Linked DNA regions of Alligator mississippiensis. The protein of the gene in region 3 binds, or shares a complex with, the protein of the main gene of each other region. Links are inferred from orthologs where the notes say so. Each region holds a gene or a part of one and is shown on either strand. Other genes may lie near its edges.

What was found.
Region 1: HYPK (region 3) and NAA50 share a complex: the UniProt entries of both Homo sapiens proteins name them as parts of the N-terminal acetyltransferase E (NatE)/HYPK complex. The link is inferred for Alligator mississippiensis from reciprocal best matches to the Homo sapiens genes HYPK and NAA50.
Region 2: the proteins of HYPK (region 3) and NAA10 are in contact, whole or in part, in a crystal structure (PDB 6C95), measured with the Homo sapiens proteins. The link is inferred for Alligator mississippiensis from reciprocal best matches to the Homo sapiens genes HYPK and NAA10. Residues at the interface, in NP_057484.4 of Homo sapiens: Lys27, His28, Ser30, Gly31, Asp34, Leu35, Arg37, Val38; in NP_003482.1 of Homo sapiens: Glu24, Tyr26, Lys29, Tyr30, Tyr33, Lys59, Glu134, Lys136, Tyr137.

Annotation. Positions count from the first base shown.
Region 1 is NC_081824.1:241,147,604-241,155,250, reverse strand, and holds the start of NAA50 (N-alpha-acetyltransferase 50), read right to left. Parts: upstream 3,008-7,647; 5' UTR 2,804-3,007; coding exon 2,796-2,803; intron 1-2,795. UniProt on the Homo sapiens protein: N-alpha-acetyltransferase that acetylates the N-terminus of proteins that retain their initiating methionine. Has a broad substrate specificity: able to acetylate the initiator methionine of most peptides, except for those with a proline in second position.
Region 2 is NC_081831.1:28,666,219-28,674,097, reverse strand, and holds the start of NAA10 (N-alpha-acetyltransferase 10), read right to left. Parts: upstream 3,008-7,879; 5' UTR 2,918-3,007; coding exon 2,897-2,917; intron 2,760-2,896; coding exon 2,661-2,759; intron 2,256-2,660; coding exon 2,197-2,255; intron 1,861-2,196; coding exon 1,815-1,860; intron 1,265-1,814; coding exon 1,149-1,264; intron 378-1,148; coding exon 333-377; intron 68-332; coding exon 1-67. Other genes in the region: PDZD4 (PDZ domain-containing protein 4), read right to left, coding at 5,879-7,102, 7,368-7,475. UniProt on the Homo sapiens protein: Catalytic subunit of N-terminal acetyltransferase complexes which display alpha (N-terminal) acetyltransferase activity. Acetylates amino termini that are devoid of initiator methionine.
Region 3 is NC_081834.1:732,717-738,724, forward strand, and holds HYPK (huntingtin-interacting protein K), read left to right. Parts: upstream 1-4,683; 5' UTR 4,684-4,729; coding exon 4,730-4,912; intron 4,913-4,992; coding exon 4,993-5,048; intron 5,049-5,194; coding exon 5,195-5,246; intron 5,247-5,331; coding exon 5,332-5,427; 3' UTR 5,428-5,494; downstream 5,495-6,008. Other genes in the region: SERINC4 (serine incorporator 4), read right to left, coding at 1-69, 385-596, 707-800, 1,089-1,168, 1,237-1,411, 1,442-1,643. UniProt on the Homo sapiens protein: Component of several N-terminal acetyltransferase complexes. Inhibits the N-terminal acetylation activity of the N-terminal acetyltransferase NAA10-NAA15 complex (also called the NatA complex).

The DNA.
Region 1 (7,647 bases), on a different chromosome or scaffold from region 3:
GAAGAGGCCCCTCAGCTTATTGATTCCTGCATGCTCCCTGCAATGGAGTTTCTGGATCTAGCTTTTTCACACAAAGGTCTTGTGAGTGTTTACAAAGGGTGTGACATTGGAATGGGGAAAAAAAACCCTATCAGGCAGCTGCAAGCTCTTCCAAAATTAGAGGCAGGATGAAAGGGCTGCAAACTACATACCCTGTCTGTTTTGGATTAGAAAGGTATAAAAAACTCAAGTAACCATGTGACTGGTTCCTTCCCTCATCCTTATTCACTAGGAGCCTCATTCATTCATTTGTTGCTCAGGCTCTAGAGCTGATCTACAAAGCTCCCAAGATTACCACTATGCTTTCAAGTACATGTTAACTAACATGCACTTAGTAGAAAATTCCCATATAGAGCCATTCAAAACTGGGTTTTACAGCTACCAGGTAAAATTGCCCCATGCGTTTGGTGCACAGTCAGACCAAGAACACTTGCAGCACACATACACTCCTTCAGCATTAGGATTCTCCAATAACCCGAAGCAGGCAGGAGAACTGGCTCATGCTGCAGCCCTTCCTTGTCCAACTGGCACTATCTCCCAGAAACAGAGGCAAGGCAGGACAGGTGGAACTCCCACATACACCTCCATTTCTGGGAGGAGGAACAGAGGGACAGACCAAGAAGGGCCACAGCTGCCAGACAGACAGGAGGCACTTTGCCCGGGCAGCACAGGGTTTGTGGTGGCGGCACAGAACTTCCCTGCCCCGCTCTGCTGCACTGGGTCTCACCCAGCAGAGCAGGGAGCCCTGAGCCCACAGCCAACCCCTGCCCCATTCACAAATCTAAGGGTCATGTCCCTCCTATACTCCCGCCAGGAGTGTGTACACCAGTGGGGAGCCAGCCCCTCCCCTGCCCCCTGGAAGAGCTGTCCCACTCCTTGTCCAGGCCTTGCAGCCACACATGGCCCTGGGCCCCAAGCCTCACATACTGCCTGAGCTGGGCCGCAGCCCAAACCCCAGCCCACCCAACTCCCTCTCATTATGGAGGCCTCAATCCCCACCCCCCACCCCGGACTTACCTGTGGGAGCAAATCCCACCCCCAAAAAAAATTAGGAGTGCCAGAAAAGCAGAGACAGAAAAGTATAGAATATCACAGGCCTGTTCTGCTCCCCTGGAATTTGGCAAACTTCACAATTGATTTAAGTAAAAGCACAACTGAGAAAAAAGTCTATTATTAAAGGGCCATCAAGGAATAGGTTTTTGGGTGGTTTTTCCTGTTCTTTTGTAATGAACCCCCCAACTCAGATTCACTGAAGCCCCAGATAAGAGAAATGACAGTTTTCACCCAGGCGCATTTTGTATACTACATGTAAATCTGGAGACTCCAGTCTGCTCTGGCCTGACACAGAAAGTTGCCCAGACAATGTAATGTATTCAAGCCTAAGAAATAATACTCTCTCTTTCAATTCAAAACTGATATAGAATCCAAGCAGAGCCAAGCCACAGAAAATCAAAAAACCTGGGGAATCCAAGCTGAAACCAAGTTCTAGCTTCAGCCATAAAGAAGCACATCTAACATGCGACCTGCTGCTGATCAATTTTATTGTTCTTCCTGCATACCCACCTATTCCTTACAAGGCTGCTCTGCCTCTTTGCCCACAAGACCTAAAGACCTGATTATATTGGACACTGCTTTATTGACAGGCATTAAATGGAAGATTACCAAGAATCCACGTTTTCTTTTTTCCCCATGGAAAAATGCAAATTTTCCCCTTTGAAACAGGAAACCAGACTTCCAGCTTGCAAGGTAGTGTTTGGGGTTAGAGGGAGGGCCACTGGAGGCAGGGGGTGCCATGTGCATGCATGCAACACATCACACAAATACAACCAGGCAGGGTGGTGGGTGCAGCTCCTGCAGCTACCTGCAGGTAAGTTGGGGGTGGGGGGGCAGGGGGTGGAAGAGGAGGGTGGCACAGGTGACACATGGGAAGTCACAAGGCAGATGGAACTCCACACATGCCAGGCCACCCTTACTGCTATGGAGCATTGGGTCCATCCAGGCTGTAGCCTCACACCTTGTAGTGCCAAGATTGAGGTGTGAGGGAGCACATGCTACACCCAGCACCTTTAGGGCAGGTTTGGCGACTGCGGTTGGAGGCACTGCCCAGCTGGGGTGGTGGCACAGGGCTCCTGGAGCTTGGCACCAGCCCTGATGGTCAATGCAGAAGCTTGGCACATGCTGAGGCCAGTCTGGGCCATCAGGGACCAAGCTCTGGCAAGTCCAGACCAACCCTGCACCATCAGGGCAGGGGCCAAACTCCAGAAAGCAGGAGCCTTTCTGGTCCATCCACACACTACCCAAGAGAGAGCAATGCCAGCTACATTTGTGGGGCTGCTGCCAGCTCTCCAGGCAGCTGTTGGGGCAGGCAGGCAAAGTCTGCCTTCCCCAGGGAGGCACCTGATGCAGAAATGACACGCAGCACCACACGGCCGTGGGCCAGAAGGCGCGGGGTCGCCTCGCCACCCTCCGCGGGAGAAGACCCCGCCGGAAACGTGGTTCGGCCCGCAGCGGCCGGGACCCGCGGAGGAGTTCCCCTCACGCAAACGCGGCGCAGCCGGGCCCTTCCGACGGCTTCTTCCACCCCCGCGGGGGAACGACCCGCAACCCACGAGCCGAGACCAGCTGCGCAGCGCCGCGCCCCCGGAACGCCCCCGGCCCCGCAGGTAGAGAGCGGGGTCACGCGACGGCCGGTTTGTGCCGAACGGCGCCACCCCAGGCCCGGCGCCCCGCTCGGGCCGGGCCCACGCCGCACTCACCCCTTCATGGCGCGGCCGCACTGGATGCGCGCAAGGCCTGGCGACGCGGCGGCCTCTTTCTCTTTCTCCTTCTCCTCCTGCTGCTGTTGCTGCTGCCGCCGCTGGGCGCTTGTTGGCTCAGCCTCCTGCTCCCGCTCCACATGGGCCGCAGGCCGCCCGCCCCGCCCCGCCCCGCCGGCGTGACCCCGCGCTGCCCGCTCCAACGCAGGCACGCTCTACGTAACCTCCAGCGGTATTACTATGCTCCCGCGCGATGGCTGGAGGGCTGTATCACATGACCGCAGGATGTAAATCACATGACTCTTGCGCCTGTTACGTGAGTGGGAAGGATTCTCTCGCTTTCCTGGCTTCCGGGAGCGCATGCGCAGGCGGTCCGGAGCGACGGATAAGTTGTTTTGTTGTTGCTGCCGCCACTGCCAAGGCTGGGAGTTTTTGCTGTGTGCTCAGGTGATGTACCCTCCACGCTCGCGGGCCCCTGGGAGGCGGCCGACCTGGCTGCGCCCCCGCGCCTGCGTCACGGGCTCCCGGCCTGGCGGGCGCGTCGTCCTGTTCTGCGGCGGCTGCCCTGTTGAGGAGCGGTGGGGTAGGTCCGCTGCCAGGGAGCGTCGCCTCTCCCGGCTCCTGCCTAGGCTGGTGGCTGTAGGAGGAGCCACGGCCGCGTCGCTCTGGCCTTTCCCGTCCCTGAGGCAGGTCCCGCCTAGAGCGGGTGCGTAGGCGACCGGCGCTCTTCGCTTTCGCGCGGTTGCGAGGACTGGACCTTATGGCCAGAAACTGCTGTAGGTTAGCCGGTAACCAGGTGTCTCATGGACATGCCGCTCCCTGTGCTTCTGACTTGGCACAGCCTCTCCGTTTGAGCCCGTAGGGAGGCTGTTTCCTGAGCCCCTGCCTCCTTCCGCGTTTGTCATTCATTTATCCAAGGCTTGTTAAAGATGGTCATTTAAAAAGGCTCTCCGTCTTTATTGCTTGCAACAAAGCAAGTTAGGGGAGCCTAACAGAGTCAATTTGTTAGGCTCCTCAGTTCAAAGCCACAAGGCCTGTGGCTTTTCAGAAAGATGGTGGATCATAAGGTAACATGCCTACCATTTTGTTTGCTGTGTATGTAATGGCTGTCCTACTAGCAGGGGCGGGCAGTTATTTCAGGCTGAGGGCTGCTTACCAAGTTCTGACAAGCTGTGGAGGGCTGTATTGGTAGCCCCACCCCTTGACAGATGCCTTGCCCCCTGGTTGCCATCTTATGACTGGAAGTCCCACCCCCTAACACCTGACCTTTGCCACCAGAAGACCCTCCCCATGCTCCGAGAAGTATTCCTTTCAGCAAGAGGTTTTGCCATCTCAGAACCAGAAAAATACCAAAGTATAGTTTAAAAAGCAAACATCTACAGCATTCATTAATTTGGTTTAAAAAAATATTGTCCAGATATACATGCGTTTGTGCAGTACACATAGACATGATTGCACAGTAGCTTAAAATGAAGTCTTATGCTTGTATATTGTGGGGGGTGGGGTGCCTCGGGGGTGTGAGGGGATGTAGGGGGGTCTGTGTATATGGCAGTGCGAGGGGGGGTGTGGGTGCATGTGTATGGGACTCAGCCTATGAACACACATACACTCTGCCCATGCCTACACACACATGCACACACTGTGCCCGCCTGCATACATACGTGCAGTCATTCACACACCCCATACTGACACAGTCCCGTGCTCCCCAGTTGGGCGGTGCAGCTGGCAGCTAGGGGGTGCTGGAACAGGGCGGAGGCAGGAAGGGAGAGAAATGGCTGGGAGTGGGCAGGGCTGGGCTTTTCAGTCCTACTGAGGCTCCCCTTGGGTCCTACTGCCTCTGGCTCCTGACAGCTTTGATAAGCTGCTGGGGCAGATAAAATTTAGAAAATTAATATTTTTAGGGGCCCCATGGGCCAGATAAATGGCTTGGTGGGCCATATTTGGCCTGTGGGCTATATTTTGCCCACCCCTGTACTAGCATCATCACTTGACTACATTGCCTTGCAAAAGGAATGGTAGTTGGGATGGTAGTTTGAGAGGGGAAGAGCCAAAATAGTTCTCTCTCTGGCCCATGACTACAAAGTTAAATTGCTTTTGACTTGGAAATACTGAGATTGTTTCCTGATCAGCAGTGTCCACATGACCTGTTGGAGAGGAACAGCATCAAGAAAACCTGACAGCAGACCAGGCTGGAACATCATTCATGCATGGTTCATCCTGAATCACTATGTTTTGAAAAATGTGACTGCTGTTGGTTGGGGGTTGGGTAGACAAAAGAAATTGTAGCAGGTCTTTTGTGTACGCATGTCCACCCCTGTTGCTTGTAGAGAAGGGGACAAGACTGACAAATTTCTTGGCCTGTTTTTCCTACCTAGCATTAGTTAGTGTGTGCATGTGTACTGTGTGATGTGCCAAGGAGGTAGAGTTGGTTCTGTGCCTTATTTCTGCTGCTTCATGGTATAAGGGAGCCTAGACATCCTCTGGAAGCACTGTAAGATGTTTCTATTTGGGTAGGCATTTAGCAAACAAAGCTAAGTTAGGCTGTTGTTGGAGGCAAAGGGGGTTAATTTTAACTTAATATTTTACTTGCTTTTATGTTGTTTTGTTCCCTTACTGTAAGCTACCCCAAGCCTTTCTTGGAAAGTGTGATGTATCAATCAAATAAACAACATAAATCCTGGATCTTTTTTTTTTCCCCCCCTATTTAGGACAAATCCCAATGTCCTACTTCATAACTGCCTAAAGAGGTTGTCTTATCCCCATTGTCCTATTTCTTGTAATATAAGAGACGTTAGTAGAAATAGCTACCTTATCTATACCACTTATTCTTTTTACTCCCATCAAGTCCTTTTATATTGTCTGTAAAGAGATAAGCCTTATCTCTTTAATGTTTCTGTGAGTTCTCGCAGTCTGGTAATCATTTTCATTGCCCAGCTGAATCTTTCTAATTCTACTGTGTTCATTTTGGATGTAGTGGGATCCTACAGTTTTACAGAGCATACTTTTGGTTCCTAGCACAGCAATATTTTTTGTCTTCTTCCCATTTCTTACGTGGACTGGGTTTGTTTGTTTGTGGTGGGTCCATGTTGATGGAAGTCTGTATTGAGCTATACACAATAAGGCCCATGTCTCTTTCCTGAGTTGATACAGTTATTGGAAAGATAAACAAGTAAAGACCATTTCTACAATAAAAGTTTCTCTGCACTTGTCAATGTTGACCTCATCTGCCATCAGACTGCTTATTAACCTAGCTTGTGTTGGGTCACTCCAAGGTGACTCAGCCCTCTGTCTTGACTAAGTGAATAGTTCTGACTTATGCAAAATTTCCAGCTTCACTACTCACTTGCTTTTAAGATGATTAAATATATTAACAATTGTCCTAATACAAAACACTTGTGTGATGATACTTGACTATTTCTTCTTCCTTTATTTGATCTTAGCCACAATGAAACTCCATAGGTGATTGTAGCAAGCCTAGAATTTTGAAATCTCAAGTAGTTAGGAAGTGAAACCCATCAATATTTTTAACCTTTATAAAACTGGTGTTGTCAGTTTTAAATTACTGGCAAACATTTGTGAGAAATGATCTTTAAGATTGAAGGATATTGTTCCTTCAATTAAGAACAGAGACCGATCCAAGTAAATAAATCCTTTGACAGAAATGAAGATTTAAATTACTTTAGACATATCAAAATTAGTTTTTGACCTTTTTTAGACTTAAGGCACTCTTCAGAAAATGCCAGCTCTTAAGTTTTCATTCGTTTCTTGACTGTGGAAAAATAATGGAGCACTTCTATTGCAAAAAAAAAAAAAACCCCTCAAAAGACCACAACAGATCAGAATTTCTTAATGCAATGGATTCCTATTTAAAATCCTTGGGTTTATTTTGTGACTTGTATAGGTGTTTGCACACCTAACAATGCCAGCATTTTGTGACATCAAAGGGATTTTGTAGCACCCAGAGGTGTTATGGTAACCTGGTTGATAACTGTTTCTCAAAAGAAGACACAAGCAGAGACAGGAAAAACCCCTATGCCTTTTAAATGAAGAACATTTATCTTACTACAATCTAATGCTGCTTCTGTTGATTGGTTTCTGCAACATAATAATCTGAGAAACAATCTGGTTTTGGAATGAAGTAATTTCCAAGCAGTGGATTTCTTAAGATTTGTGACATTGTTAAAAATTTTTAGGACTGGGTGGGTGATATGAGATTCACAATTTAAGTAACTTGTTCCAGAGAAGAATGGGGAAGTCTGCACTCATAGTAGGTTGCCCTCCACCAGCACCCCTCCCTGCACTGAAACCTGGTTTCAGCTTCCAGACATCAATGTCATCTTGGTTCCTGTGACAATTTCCTTAGTTGTCAGGTGTTGATCACTGAGTGTATTGGCTTCCCTTCCAGATGGCTTGTATGGAGTTTGGAGACCTGGTTCAGTTCCCCTGGGAGAATGACAGCTTGCTGTGACCCTATACTATAAACAGCAGAACCATTGCCATTGCGAGAACCTACTGTGGCCGCCTTTAAGAAAGCATTTGGATTCTTATCTTGCTAGGATCCTTTGACCTTAGCTGACTTCCTGCCTGTGGGGCAGGGGGCTGGACTTGATGATCTCCTAAGGTCCCTTCCAGCCCTAAGGCCTATGAAATCTTGTCTAACTTCCACATTTATTTACAGTGACATGATCCATTATAGTTCTGCTTCTTCCCCACCCCCCTCTTCCACCCTCCCCCCCCCCCCCCCTTTTCTGAAGGTTTTCTCAATTGGAAAAGGAAATGTAAGTCACCCAATTTACAGGAAGCTTGCTGCAGCAGTGGTTGTCTAATGTGTACTAATCATGGAGCCCTTGCA
Region 2 (7,879 bases), on a different chromosome or scaffold from region 3:
GAGGTCCCTCTTCATGGCATAGGCGTCCTCCCCATCCGCATAGTACTTGGGCTCCACCTCGCTGATCCTACAGGTGGCCTCTTATTAATGGGGTGGAAATATTAAAGGGGGAGCCCAGGACCTGACTGGCACAGACAGTCCCATAGCTCCCTCCAATGCCCATAGCCAGTCCCCGCTGGCAGTCCTCCACTATCCCATCACCCCCAGGCTTCACCCCTACTACCCCCCCCGGCTCTCCCCCTGGATCCTCCACAAGCCTGTCATCCCCAGTCCTTTGCTATCACATCGTTCCCCAGGAGCCACCATTATCCCATCACCCCCCGTGGACTCACTGGAAGTTGAGGGTGTTGGAGTAGAGGTGCAGAGCTGCCCGGTTGCTACAAGACAAGGCGGGTATTAGGTGGGGGGGTGTTGCCCCAGGGCTCCCTAAGGCACAGTATTTGCCCTATCCCCAGGGGGGCATATCTGAGGGGGCAGCTCCCACTTCTGGTGAGGCATGAAGTGGTTTAGAAGAGCGTAAGTCACAGGGCAGGGTCATGAGGTTACCCCCCTCTCCACTCAGATAGTTGGTGTGGCTTCGGAGTTCAGGGGTCAGAGGTCATAGAATGAGTGGTGACCCACAGAGGGGGAACAGGGATCAGCCACCACCATGACACCATGAGGTGGTCAAGATCACAACCCTTTGGCATAATGGTATAAGGAGGCAGGATCACCATGGGATCAAAAGTCAAAACCCCTCCCCAGTGTGTGTGGGGGCTCAAGGTCACCATGGGGTCAAAGGTCAGGGGCCACTCATCACTATGGGGTGTAGTGGTCAGTGTAACTGTGGGGTCAGAGGTCAGGGCTCACACCCTTATGGCGAATGCATGGACAGTCAATGTCACTGTGAGGAGGTCAAAGGTCAAGGCTCATGTATGCATGTGTGTAAGATCAAGATAACCATGAGCTCAATAGTCAGGAGTTACTCACCACTATACTGTGTGGGGGATGAGAGTCATTATAGGGTTAAAAGTCAGGAGTCACTGCCCCTTTGGTCACCTGCAGCCCTATGGACATGGCTGGGGGAAGGCAGGACCAGGGTAGGGGGGATACAGGACTAGACCCAAGGGACCCCAGGGAACTCCAGGCAGGGGCTAGGGGTCACTCACCTCTTGCGGACATGCAGAGACACGTACTTGGCATTGAAATTTTCAATCATGGCACGAGAGGCCTGGTCCATGAGCTTCTGTGCCAGCCCCAGGCGCCGGTGAGAGCGTTTCACTGCCTGGGGGTGGAGAGGATGGTCAGGTACCCCCCAGTCCCCACCCCTGTCCCAGAGAACCCAGGCATCGGGGCATCCAGCCCCTCCCAGACCTCTGAACTAGGGAACCTGGGCATCCAGGCTCCTACCCCCCCCAGTCCCCACTCCCCTCCCAGAGAAACTAGGCATCCTGGTTCTCAGCCCCCTGTTCTCAATTCAAAACCCCCACCCACTCCCAGAGAACCCAGGTGTCTGGGCTTCCAGCCTCCCCAGACCTGCAAACTAGGGATCTCAGGTATCAGGGTTCCAGACCCCTTCTCACGTCCCACCCTCTCCCAAAGAACCCTATCATCCAGGCTCCCAGCACTCTCCTGCTCCTTCCCACCCAACAGACTCCAGAGAACCTAGGAGTCTGGGCTCCCAGCCCCACTTGCATCTGCCCTCCTCCCTCACCCGCTCCAGATCCCCTCCCCAAACCTCCATCATCTCCTTGCGGATGGGAGAAAATCCCCAGACTCCCATGTGCCCCCCACCAAACTAAGTGCCCGGGGTGGGGAAGGGAGGTAGGACTCACCAGAGAAGTGATGTGTCCGTGGGGGACATCATCGGGGTCTTCCTCCCTGGTGAGCAAATGAAGGAGCTCAGTCCCATGGTGGGGGTCTGCAGTGCCCCTCACTCCCAACCCGTAGCCTCCTCTACATCCCCACAATGTCCCTCGTTCCTGACCTGCAGCCCTGCTGATAGCCTCATGGTGCCCTTCACTTCCAATCTACAGCCCCACCTCCAACTACAGACCCACTCAACAACCTCACCCCCATATTGGTGCCCCTCATTCCCAACCTGCAGCCCTCCTGTAGCCTCATGGTGTCCCTCAGCATTACTTCTGACCCGCAGCCTGCCGCATACAGCACAGCAGTGCCCCTCACTCCCAACCTGCAGCCGGTGACCCCACTCACATCTTGGCCAGTACATAGCCTACGATCTTCCCATTCTCATCTTCAGCGATGTAGGACAGCTGGGGGAGCAGATACAAATTAGGGGGCAAGGGGATCCCCCCAATCCTCTCTGTGCCCCTCACTCTGGACCCGGAGCACCCCCCCTCATAGGGCCAGGGGAGTGGGGGAGGGGTGGGGTTCCAGCTGGGAGGAAGGGGTGAGGCATTTATTTAATACCTTTAATGAGGTATGAAATACCCTTGGGCATCTCCTGGGTGGTGGCTGGAGCGACAGGCAGGGCCCTGTCAAACCAGCCTGGGCTCCTATCCACTGCCTTGGCAAGCCTCCCTGAGCTGGGAAGGAACCCAGGCATCCTGGTTTCGAGCCCCCTCCCCTCTCCGAGAACCCAGGAGTCCGGGCTCCTAGTCCCTACTATCACCCCGCCAGACCCCACCCTCCCAAGGAACCGAGAAGTCCGGGCGCACCTGTGGCCAAGACAGGCCGTGGTAGAAGTAGTACTTCATCTGGTAGTTCTCGGGCAGACACAGCAGGTTGCAGTGCTGCATGTTCATCAAGTCCTCGGGCTGCGGGGGGTAGAGAGGGCAGGTGAGAGGGCAGCGGACCCAGGGATCCGGGCCCTCACCCGCCCCCCAACTCCCAAGAGACCCAGGCGTCCGGGCTCCTCACCGCCCCCCCCAGGCACCCAAACCCTCCCCCGCACCCGCGCGTTGCGGATGTTCATGGCTCTCGCTCGGCCACTCCAGGTCCAGCTCCATGAGGGGCCGCCGGGGGAAAGGGGCAGGGCACAGGAAGCCACACTTGCCCTCCCCTCGGGCCAAGCTAGGCAAATCGGAGACCAACTTGGCCCCGCTGAACAGGCCCTTAGGCCAATCAGAGGCCAGGAGCCTCTGGCTTCCAGCTCCGCCAATGGGGAAGCAGGAGGGAAGATGAAGTCCCGTCTCCGCCTGGCTGCCAATCAATCGGCGCCGGATAGCCCCGCCCACCCATGGCCTCAGCTTCCTATTGGGCAACATGGAGGGTTTGGTTTCGCCTACATCCTGAGCATTAGCCAGTCACGAGCGTGGCTGCAGAGTTAAGCCCTACTTCTAGCCAATCAAATGATAGACTCCATAGTCCCGCCCCCATGGTGGAGGCAGCCAATCACATGGTTTAAGAGGCAGGACCAAATCCCGGCCAGTCACAGTCTAGAATCCCTCGATTGGCGTTTGCTTGGGCTCCAAGAAGCCAATCAGTAGACAGGAGGCGGCATCGTCTGCCGAGCCAATCCTGAGCAGGAGACCCCCCCGTGATGGTTTCTCCCGCCCGCTCACCCTCAGCACCAATCATAGCCCTGAAGGGCATGGAGTGACAGTCACGAGGACCAATGAGAGCAAAGGCAAAGGAGGCGATGTCTCTGGTGTAGTGCTGCTAGCTTCTTTGAAGTAGTGTCCTCAGATGGGGGTGGGGTTCAGAGGGTGGGCGTCTAGGTTCTCTGCGAGGGGAGTAGGGGCGGCTCGGAGCCAAGATAACCCAAAGCGGTGGGGTGGGAGTGGGGGGCACCGCCGGAACAGCCGCCTCCAGCCCGCAGTTACCATTACTGTCATTTCCTGGTTTCTTCATCTTGATTGGATTGATTAAAGAGCACAGGCGTCCGGGCTCTTCTGGGACAGGGGCTTCACCCCAAGCCTGACTCGGGGGCGTTTCCTGCTCCCACACTAATGCGGGCTCTGGGGTGGAGCTCCTCACTACCTGGCTCCGGGTGGGCCGGAGTCAAACCCAGTCGCCTGACTCCCAGACTGGGTGGGTGGGCCTAACCCCCAAGCCCCGCCCCGAGGTGGTTTCCCCCCCCCCCCTCCAATGCCGCTGGTTCTGGGGTGGAAGCGGTAGAGGATGGGGGGCTCTGGGGGTGACCCGCCCCCTCAAGAAAGCAACAACCCGGAGGCGACGACTTGAAACGAGTAAAAACCACCCGGCGCTTTATTCTCACGGCGCCCCCGGGACCCAGGCGTCCGGGAGGACCTCCCCTGCCCCCACCCGCACCGCGCTGTACAACCAACGAACCCCCTGCTGAGGGCGGGCGTGGGGTGAAGAGACAAGCAATGAGGAGGGGCGCGGGGGACCTGGACGCCTGGGTTCCCTTCCGGTTGGGGGAGGTGGGGCGGGGAGCAAAGACGCCTGGGTTCCTCGGGGCATTGGAGGGGAGCTACGGGGCGAGGCGGGGACCCCGGTCGTCTGGGTCCGTTGGGCATTGAAGAAGTATGCAGGGGGAACCAAGATGCCTGGGTTCCCTCCAGGGTGGGGGGAGAGGAAGAGGGGCAAGGGCTGAGAGCTAGGGTACCTAGGTTCAACGTTGGAAAGGTGGGGAGCATGGAAGGTGGGTGAGGCAAGGACACAAGACTTCTTTGCTGGCATGGGCTACAGGGAACTTGGGAGGGAGCAGGGTGTGCCCTAGGTTCCCTAGGTATTGGCTGGGGGAGGGGGGGGTATCTGATAGGGATGAGCATTGGGGGAACCTGAATGCCTAGGTTCTCTGTGCTCTGGGGGAGGGGAAGGTTCTAAGCACCTGGGGCCCCTGGCCACTGAGGGAAGGGGGAGGTTGGAGGCAGGGAAGGAGGTAGGGAAGCCTTAGGCACCTAGGTTACTCCCCTTTCCCAAGAGATACAGATGGCAAACCACAAACACCCACAATCACAGACACAAGCAAGCCCCGCAGGGGAGATCCCCCCCCCCCCCCCCCCGCCTGTCCTTGTGCTGGGGGGGGGCAGGTAATCCTAGCCCTCCCACCATTGTCCATAGGCTGGGGGCAGCTGCAAGCAGGGGGGCCTGGCTTCTTGGAGGGAGGGGTATCCCCACTGGATGGATGTCAGGGTTCTGCTCATGGGGACCCCTTTTTCCAGCATCTCCTTACAGGCTCTTCCATTCGTTCAACCCCCTCCTAAAGCCAGCCCCCAGTTCTGTGGCACACCTCCTCCCCCTTGGGGGGGGGGGGCACTTTCAGCTAGTCCCCCCCCTCCCTCCAATTCATTTCAGGACCTTTCCAATGCGGGGGGTGCGTCCCTGTACATGGTCTTGGGAGAAAGGAACCCAGACATCTGGGTTCTTTCAGGCGCTTGTTCCACCTGAAAGTCTGGGGTACTGGTAGCCTAGCCATGGTGTCAGTGTGGTTTGCTTGGCCTGGTAACGCCTCTACAGGGCCCAGGCCAGGCAGCACCAGGTTGACAGTGGCTACAAAGCCTCCCCAGGCACAGTCTTGGTCACTTTGCCCCTGCTGCCTACTTTTCTTGGCAAAACCCCTCCAGACCCAGCAGGGAAGGGTGACAGTGGCTATATTGTCCCTGTGGCCTACTGAACCTAGTGAACCTTCCCCACGCCGGGCTAGGGCAGGAAGTGCCAGACCAATAGCAGCCACATTGCCCGCACAGCTTGCTCGGCCCAGCAAAGCCTCCCAGGCCCTTGCTTGGCTGGGGTGGGCATCGCCAGGGCAACAGCAGCCATGTCACCCCTGTGGCCTATTCTTCTTGGCAAAGCCACCCTTGGCCCTAGACTTAGACCAAAGGTCAGTACTGCAAAAGCAATGGTGGCCATTTTGTCCTTGTGGCTGACTAAGCCTGGCAAAGCCTCCCACAGCCACAAGCTCAGCGGGGCCAGCCTTGCCAGGGCAACAGGCCTTGTGGGAGGTGGAGGCGGGGGGTGGAACTCCCCCTCAGACAGTAGTGACAGAGAGCAGGGGGTTGTAGAGCCGCCGGCCGTCGGCCCCACGGCTGCCATGGGCCAGCATCTCCTGGATGGTCAGCCAGTTGTCGAGGATGCGGCGGCTCCGCTTCCTCAGTGTCTTGCGGTGGCCCAGGGCCACGGCTGAGGTCTCGGGGGATGCCCCTGCTGCTTCCAGCCGGCTCTGGAGCATCAGCTCACGGCGCCGGCGCTGCTCCCGGGCTCGGGCCAGGTGCTGCTTGCGTTCTTCTCGGCTCCAGTAGCGGCCCAACTTCAGCTCGCTCATGGCATCGTCATCGGTTGTCATCCCGCTTCTTTCCTCCCTGATCTTCAAGGCCCGTGCCTTGAGAAGCCGGTCTCTCACAGGCCTCTTGGCACCTTTGCCCCGCCATTCCCCACCCCGGCCTACTCCTGGCAAGGCTTCGCTGGCACACAGAGGCACTAGGCCTGGCGGTGCTGAAGCAACAACAGCCATGTTGTCCTTGCGGCCTAGACGACTGGGTGAAGCTTCCCGGGGGCTACGCTTGGTTGGACGGGCCTCACTAGGGCGCCGAGTTTTTGGGGGACCTGGAGGCCGGTTGAGGTTGCCCATGGGGGGCTGGCGGAGTGGGCTCTCCAGCTGAGGGGTGCTGCGGCAGCTCTCACCTGTGTTATAGGCGCTTTCAGGGAGCTCCGTGATATCAGCCAAGGCATGGGGGGGGCCGCCTAGGGAGACTTCATAGCCCCCTGGCCCCCCATCTTCCAATAGCCAGGCCTTGAGGCACCGCTCCCGCAACTGCTGCATCTTTTGGGCACGGAGAATGTTGCGGCACTTGAATTCCAGGTGCCGCAGCTCCTCCTCCAGCAAAGCTACCTCATTGCGGTTGACATCCAGGCCCCCTGGCACCCCCCGGTAAAGGGGGGGACCCTGGTTGCCATTCTGGAGGTGCCCCCGTAGCTCCAGAAGCTCACGATATCTTTCAGCCTCCTCCGGGGTGAGGCCTGGGGTGGCTGGGGGGCTAGGTGGAGGGACCACAGCATCTGGGAGGGGCTCACCACGGCGCTGCAGGGCTGGGGTGCCAGTGCCGCTGGGGGGCTCATCACCTAGCAAGTCATGCTCCGAACTCTCCTCATTGCGGGTGCTCTCATCTGTGCGGCCAACCCCACTGTCTGGCTCCCCCAAGGCCGGAGGGGCTGCAGGGGGGGGCAGTGGCAGGGCTGGGGTGGCCATTTGGGGCTGTGGGGGAGGGAGAGAAGGAGGCTGGTGGGGAGAAGACCCAGGTGTCTAGGCCCCCCGCTACAGTACCGTGGCTCGGGAGCAGAAGACAACCCAGGGTGTGGCTGGGGCCCAGGCACCTACACCCGAGAGGGGATTGTGAGGGGGAACTCAGCTGTCCACGACCCCCAGCTCCAACCCACAGCAGATATGGGGGGTGTTAGGAAAGAGAACCTAGGCATGTAGGCTCCCAGCCCCACCCCTGATGGGCCCCCCCTCATCTCACCTGGCCTGGGGCAGCACGGGGGGGTCGGGGTCGTGCCTCATCCTCGGGGTCAGAGCCGAAGTCATCAAGGAAATCTTCGCGGTCACTGTCCTTCCAGTGCTTTGACAGCTGGGGTGGAGAGTTAAGAGCCAGCCCCTCCCCAGTGGGGCCCCCCTTTGCTGTCACGCCCCCCTCCCCCCCCCCGGGCTTCCCAATCCCCTAGCACATTTTCCTCAGCCCTCCACTACCCCAATCCCTTCCCCCCCACAGCCAGCTCCAATCTCTTAACCCATTTGCCCAGCCAGCCTGGGATCCCCTAAAGCCTTTCCCTATCTCTTCTTGTCCCCTCCCCCCCCAACCCTACCCCTATTCCTGTCCCCAAGCTCTCCTTGGGGTCTCCAATTGCCTCAGAGCCCCAGCCATGTCAGGATACCCCTAAATACTTTCCCCATGCCCCCCAGCCATCCAAAGGCGCCACAGTTCTTATCCCCTACCCCCTCCCTTGCCCTGGAGCCACCCCAGGACCCTCTAAT
Region 3 (6,008 bases):
CGGAGAAGGTGAGGTAGGCGACGTAGCAGCTGATGATGGAGGCCTGCAGGAGGCTGGAGCGTGGCTGCTCTGCAACCAGAAGGCCCGGTCAGCCCTTCCGCGTGGGCAGGCAGCAAGGCCAAGGCCTGGTCTGGAGGGTGCCATGTGCCCTCCCTTCCCTCAGCCCTCCCGCGTGGGGCTGGGGGGCAGGACAGGGCCGGGGGGGTGCGCCTGCCCCTACACGTGCAGTCCCAGAGTTAGCACCGGACATGGGGTCAGGCCTGATCCTGGGCTCCCACCGCTTCCTCCCCCTGTAGCCACGCCAGGTGCAGCCCAGACCCCCATCCTGCTCCGAGCCGGACCGGCAGAACCGAAGGCGCCTGGGGGCCAGCGCCGGGCACTCACTGAGTCGGACGCAGGGCGAGACGGAGACGAGGGACACGAGCCCGCAGAGGCCGGCGTGGAGGGCGAGCAGGGCAGCGCCCAGCGGGCGGGCGGGCGGGCGAGCGTAGCGCTGGTACAGAAGGGAGAAGGCGGCGACGGCGATGGCGTAGAAGCCCAGCGTGGCCAGCAGCACCGCCGCACCCCAGCGCCCGTCCCGGGACGCCCCCATCTGCCTGGGGAGGGGAGGCAGTGAGCCCGGTGCCCTGGGGACACGGGCCCTGAGTCCACGCTGGAGGGAGGCAGCTGGAGCAGCCCCCGGCCCTGGCAGGGGAGGGGGACCCACCAGTTCTTGTTCCAGGTGTGGGCGAAGGCTGTGATCAGCACCAGCTGGAGCAGGATGAAGGCAAAGCCACCGCAGATGCCCACGTAGCGCCAGGCTGTGGCCAGGGGAGCGTCAGGAGCCACCGCCTGCTTGGAGCCCAGCCCCCACGCCCCCCACGCCAGGCACCACATCCCTCCCGTGGGCTGCAGGGTCCTTGTGGAGACGCGGGCCTGGCCCAACCCAGCAGGGACCAGCTTAGGGCGGGGGGAAGTGGGGCACAGCCTCTGGGGCGGCATCGAAGGCTGTGCCCTCGGGGCGCAGCAAGGGTCGAGCCTCGAGTGGCTGGTGGGGGCCAGGCCCTGGCTGGGCTGGTGCCCCTGGCACCCCGGGTCTGTGCCGGTACCTGGCAGGAAGCGGTCGGCAGGGATGAAGAAGGCGGCTACGCAGAGTCCGACCAGGATCAGCAGCTTCGGGAACCAGAACCTGCAGCACACGCCAGCGTTAGTGCCCGGACCCACCCCGAGCACCCGTGGGGCTGGCGGGGGCCTCACCCGTTGTGCAGCTGGGCGCGGACGTCGCGGCTGGACCTCACGTTGAGCAGGAGGGTGGCCTGGGCCAGGTAGAAGCCGGCGGTGCCGAAGCAGACGCGGTAGACGGCCGCGTAGCCCACCAGCGCGTCGCAGTCAGCGCCCCCGGGCAGGCGCTGGCACAGCAGGGCATAGAAAGGCACCTGTGGGCAGGATGCGGCCGCGGGTCAGCTCTGGCGTGGGGACAGGCCCCGCGGCACGGCACGGTGCAGCGCCCCGGGGCCAGGCCAGCCCCAGCCCCCGGCCCGGCCCACGCTCACGTGGTCCTTGAGGGCGTCCGAGACGGTGCGGGACAGCAGGAGGCAGCAGACGGCGCAGGCCAGGACGTGGAAGAGCGTGTAGAGCAGGCGGGTCTGCGTGGACGCCTTCATGCCAGGTCTGCAGCCACAGCCACGGCTGACCTGGGAGGAGCATGGGGCTCACGTGGCTGCCTGGGGCTGTGCCTGGACCTGGGCTGAGATCCCCATCATGCCCATGGCTGCCCACGGGCCAGGGCACAGAGCCAGCCCAGCCTTGCGAAGCGTGGCAGAGCCTGGGGCACGGGCACAGCCGACCACGTCCCCCCGTGCCCACTGCTGCCAGGGAGGCCCAGGCTGGAGTCATGCTGCAGCCGGAGTCAGGAGCCAGGCACGGGGCCTCCCAGGTCGTGCCCATGCACCCTGTGCCAGGACAGCCCCTGCCCAGCACCGCCCCCGGGGATTAGAGGGGATTGGGTGGCTCAGGCGCCTCTCGCCATCTGCCCATGGTGGCTGCAGAGACCCCCGCCCCGCCCCGCCCCGCCCCGCCAGGACCCGCCGTGGGGCCCTGGAGCTGCGTGGCTCCTGCTCCGTGCTGTGCTGCGCCCCCACCCCAGGCACAGCTCCCCCAGGCCCCGCGGACTGGAGCGCACACCGCTGCCCCCGTCCCCCCTCGCGGGCACACGCTCCGGGAGGGATTAGAGCTGCTAATTGGCTCAGACTCCCCAGACTTGCTTCCCCGCGCAGCCAGGCCAGGACATGAGCGGGGGTCCCAGGGCTGTGGAGGAGGAGCCTGCGCCAGCCCCACACGCAGGAGTCCCTCCATGCCCCCTTCCCCTGCAGTGTCTGGAGGGTGCAGCCCCCACCCTGGGACCAGCGCTGCCACAGGGACTGCGACGCTGCCCCGAGGGCCTGGCCCTGCCTGCTCGGGGTGCCTGCGCCCAGAGGAGCTCCCGTTGCAGCCGGCGCCCAGCAGGCCCTGGGGTCCTCCCTGCATGACCCACCTGATGGGGAAGGCTTCCCGCCAGCGGCAGCCCTGGGGCTCAGACCCCCTTGCTGCCCCTCAGAGCACAGCAGGGCTGGGGCCAGGGCGTCCTGTGCACACAGCAGCCTCCTCTGGGCCCCGCCACGCCCTGGCCGATGCTGCCGAGAAGGGGGCTCCGCAGCCCCCACGCTGCTCCCACCTGTGTCTGGTGGCCGCTGGGCATCATCCCACGCCCAGTCCCGAGACCGACGGCTCCCAGTGGAGATGCCAGGTGGACTGCGCCAGCCCCCGGGGCATCAGCCTTGGCTGATAGAGTGTGAGCCACGCAGCCCCGGCACTGCCAGTCTGTGCAAAGGGGAAGCCAATTAGGCAGCTGCCTGCCATTGGCCACGGGGGGGGGGGGGGGGGACCTGGGGTGAGACAGGTCTGCAGCAAACGTGATTAGGCTGGGAGCCAAATGCAGCCTCTTAACCCTCTTACCAGCCGCAGGGCTTAGCCGGTTCCACAGCACACAGACCGCGGAGCCCCATGCCACGCTGCCAGCCACGGGGGCTCCCAGGCTGGATGGGGGGGCAGAGGGGGTCCCCCGATGGCAAATGCAGAGTGCAATGCACAGGGTGGGGGTGGGGGTGGGGGCCGAGCCCTTGGCCCTGGGGAACGTGACAGCGCAGAGCAGCCCGTGGCACTCCCTGCTGCAGGGAGCCCCAGCGCCAAGGGCCGGGTGAGAGGTGGGGACGTCCGTGCCGGGCAGGGGTTGCCAGCAGAGCCGCAGGGAGCTGCCCCGGGCCCAGCTGTGCCCAGAAGGGCGGCAAGGCCGAGGGGAGCCAGAGCGGACCGTGCTTGTCCTGCTGCTGCTGCAGGGACCTGAGGCCTGGCTGGGCCAGACCCATCCCGGGCCCCGTGGGGTGTACGTGGGGATCCAGCTGGCAGGGACCATCCGCCAGGGTGAGGCCCAGCCCACACTGGCCTGGTCAAGCTCAGCTGGGCAGCAGGCTGCCCGGCCGTGCCCCCGGCCTGCTTGCAGCTCCCAGACCTGACTCCATGCCCTGAACCTCTTGCCTGCTCCTCCCTGGACCTCCTGGGCCAGATCAGTCGCTTGCTCGGTCACAGCCTCACCTTGGCCCTTGGCTGCTCTCCTGGACTCGGGCTGTCACCCAGGTTTGACCCCTGCCCTAGAGTGACCGCCCATGCCCCGGTCTGCCCCACAGCTGTCCCTCAATGTGGGGGGGCAGGGTGGCAGGGGCCAGGGGAGCGCGAAGGACAGGGCAGCCACAGGCAATGGGGCCATAGAAGTGACTTTCCCAAAAGTACCGAGAGCAGTTAGCTGAGGATGAGCAAAGTCATGAGCACCCGCGCTTCAGCGTGCTGCGCCCGCGCTCCACCGCGGAGCCCCCCGCGGCCTTACACAGCTCTTTCCCGCCGAGGGACGGGGAAACGCCCACGCTGCACGTGCACGGGCCTGCTCGGGCACAGGCATCTGCAGACCTGCGCCATCCCTGGCGCCCCGAGAGGTGGCCAGAGAGGGCAGGCCGGAGCCGGGGCCCGGAGGCTGCAGAGGGGAGCGCACAGGCTCCCAGGTGGACCCTGGGGCCGCGGCGGACGAGCAGCTCCAGGGAGCAAACCACAAAACTGCAGCGCAAAGGGCTCGGTGCGACCGTGGCCGGCAACAGGGAGCTGGCGGCACGTCCGTGCGGGGCAGAGTGAGCGGCCAGGGCACAGAGCGAGCAGCGGGGACCAAGCGGTGTCCTGGGAGAGGCTTCGCGCCCGGGCCAGGCGGGGCTCCATCGGAGGCTGCAATGGGCAGAGGGGCTGAAGCCGACCCGCAGGTTACAGTCGGGGCAGCCCAGGAGCACGGGGCCTGGAGCCAGCGCCCGGGGTCGTGGGTGACCCCACGGGGAGCAGCCTGGGGCCGCGCCGTGACCGCCCCACGTGCTCCGTGGGCTAGGACCGCAGCGCCCGGGGCGGGGGTCCAGGGCCCTGCAGCGCCTGGGCCGCTCCGCACCGGGGCTGCGCCGGAGGCGGCCCCGCGGGCCCGGGCGTCGAGCAGGGCCAGCGCCACGTGCCAGCAGCGAGCGCACGAAGGGCAGCGGCTTCAGCGCGTCGATTGCGCATGCTCGGGCGCAGCGGCCCGCCCTCCCCGCCGCCAGCCAATCCGACACCGGGCGGAAGTGGCGCACGGCCGCTCTGCTCCGCGCAGCCGCGTGTCGCCGGGCCCGGAAGCGGCGGCGGCGGCGCGATGGCGGCCGAGGGGGACGTGGAGCTGGAGCTGGAGACGGAGCCGAACGGGTCGGCGGGCGGCGCGGACGGCGGGGGCCGCGCGGCGGAGAAGCCGCGGAAGCATGACAGCGGCGCGGCCGACCTGGAGCGCGTCACGGACTACGCGGAGGAGAAGGAGATCCAGAGCTCCAACCTCGAGACGGTGCGTGCCGGCCGGCGGGCGGGGGCCGGCGGGCGGGGGCTCGGGCCGGGCCCGCGGCTGACCCGCGCTGTCCCCCACAGGCCATGTCCGTGATCGGCGACCGGCGCTCCCGGGAGCAGAAGGCCAAGCAGGAGAGGTGAGGGGGGGCGGGGGCGGCAGCGCACGCGGCCAGGCCGCTCCTCCGGCCCGGGGCGAGCCTCGTGCCCGCGAGCACATGCTCCGGCTCCGGCGGAGACCCGGGGCTGCACGCCACTGACGCCCGTGTCCGCGCCCTCCTTACAGGGAGAAGGAGCTCGCCAAGGTCACCATCAAGAAGGAGGACCTGGAGTTGATTGTGAGTGCGGAGGGGCTCGCGAGAGCGGGGGACGGAGCTGCTGGGGCGGTCCCGCCGTGCTCACCCCGCTGCTCCTTCCCTGCAGATGACGGAGATGGAGATCTCGCGGGCGGCGGCGGAGCGCAGCCTGCGGGAGCACCTGGGGAACGTGGTGGAGGCCCTCATCACCCTCACCAACTGAGCCTGCGGCCGGCAGCGGTGGTTGGACACTCTGTGACTGATGGGAATAAAGACACCATCTGGCCTGGGCTGTTGGTGCCGTTTATGTGGAGCTGGGCACAGGAATCCGCCCGCTCGAGCGGGCTCCGGCGCCCCTGCCCCCCTGCGCAGGCGGGAGTCGGCTGTCTGGGCGCTGGCGCCTGCTGCACTGAAGGGCTGCAGCGCGGGCACGTTTGACGAGGGCTCCCGCGTCCTTGCTGCCCTCGGGGCACTGACCCGCTGCTCCCAGGGGAGGGGAGGCTGTTCCTGCTCCAAGGCACCATCTCTGCCCCTGCCCAGGCTTGGCATCTACCTGCAGTGTTTCGTCTCGTCCTTTCCTTCCTGGTGCCACCTGGAGTCTCCTTTAGGGTTCTCAGGCTGAGCCGGTCTTTCACTGGAAGTGATTGGGGGTCCCAGTGTGCTATGAGCGTGCTCCTTCCTAGGCCTGCCCCTGGTTCTCCCTGTGACCTGGGAAGCTGTGGATGTGTCTGTGAACATGACCCTGTGGGCTTCACTTTGACCGGCAGGTCTTGCGATCGCAAAGCAGGAGGTTCAAGCAGGCAG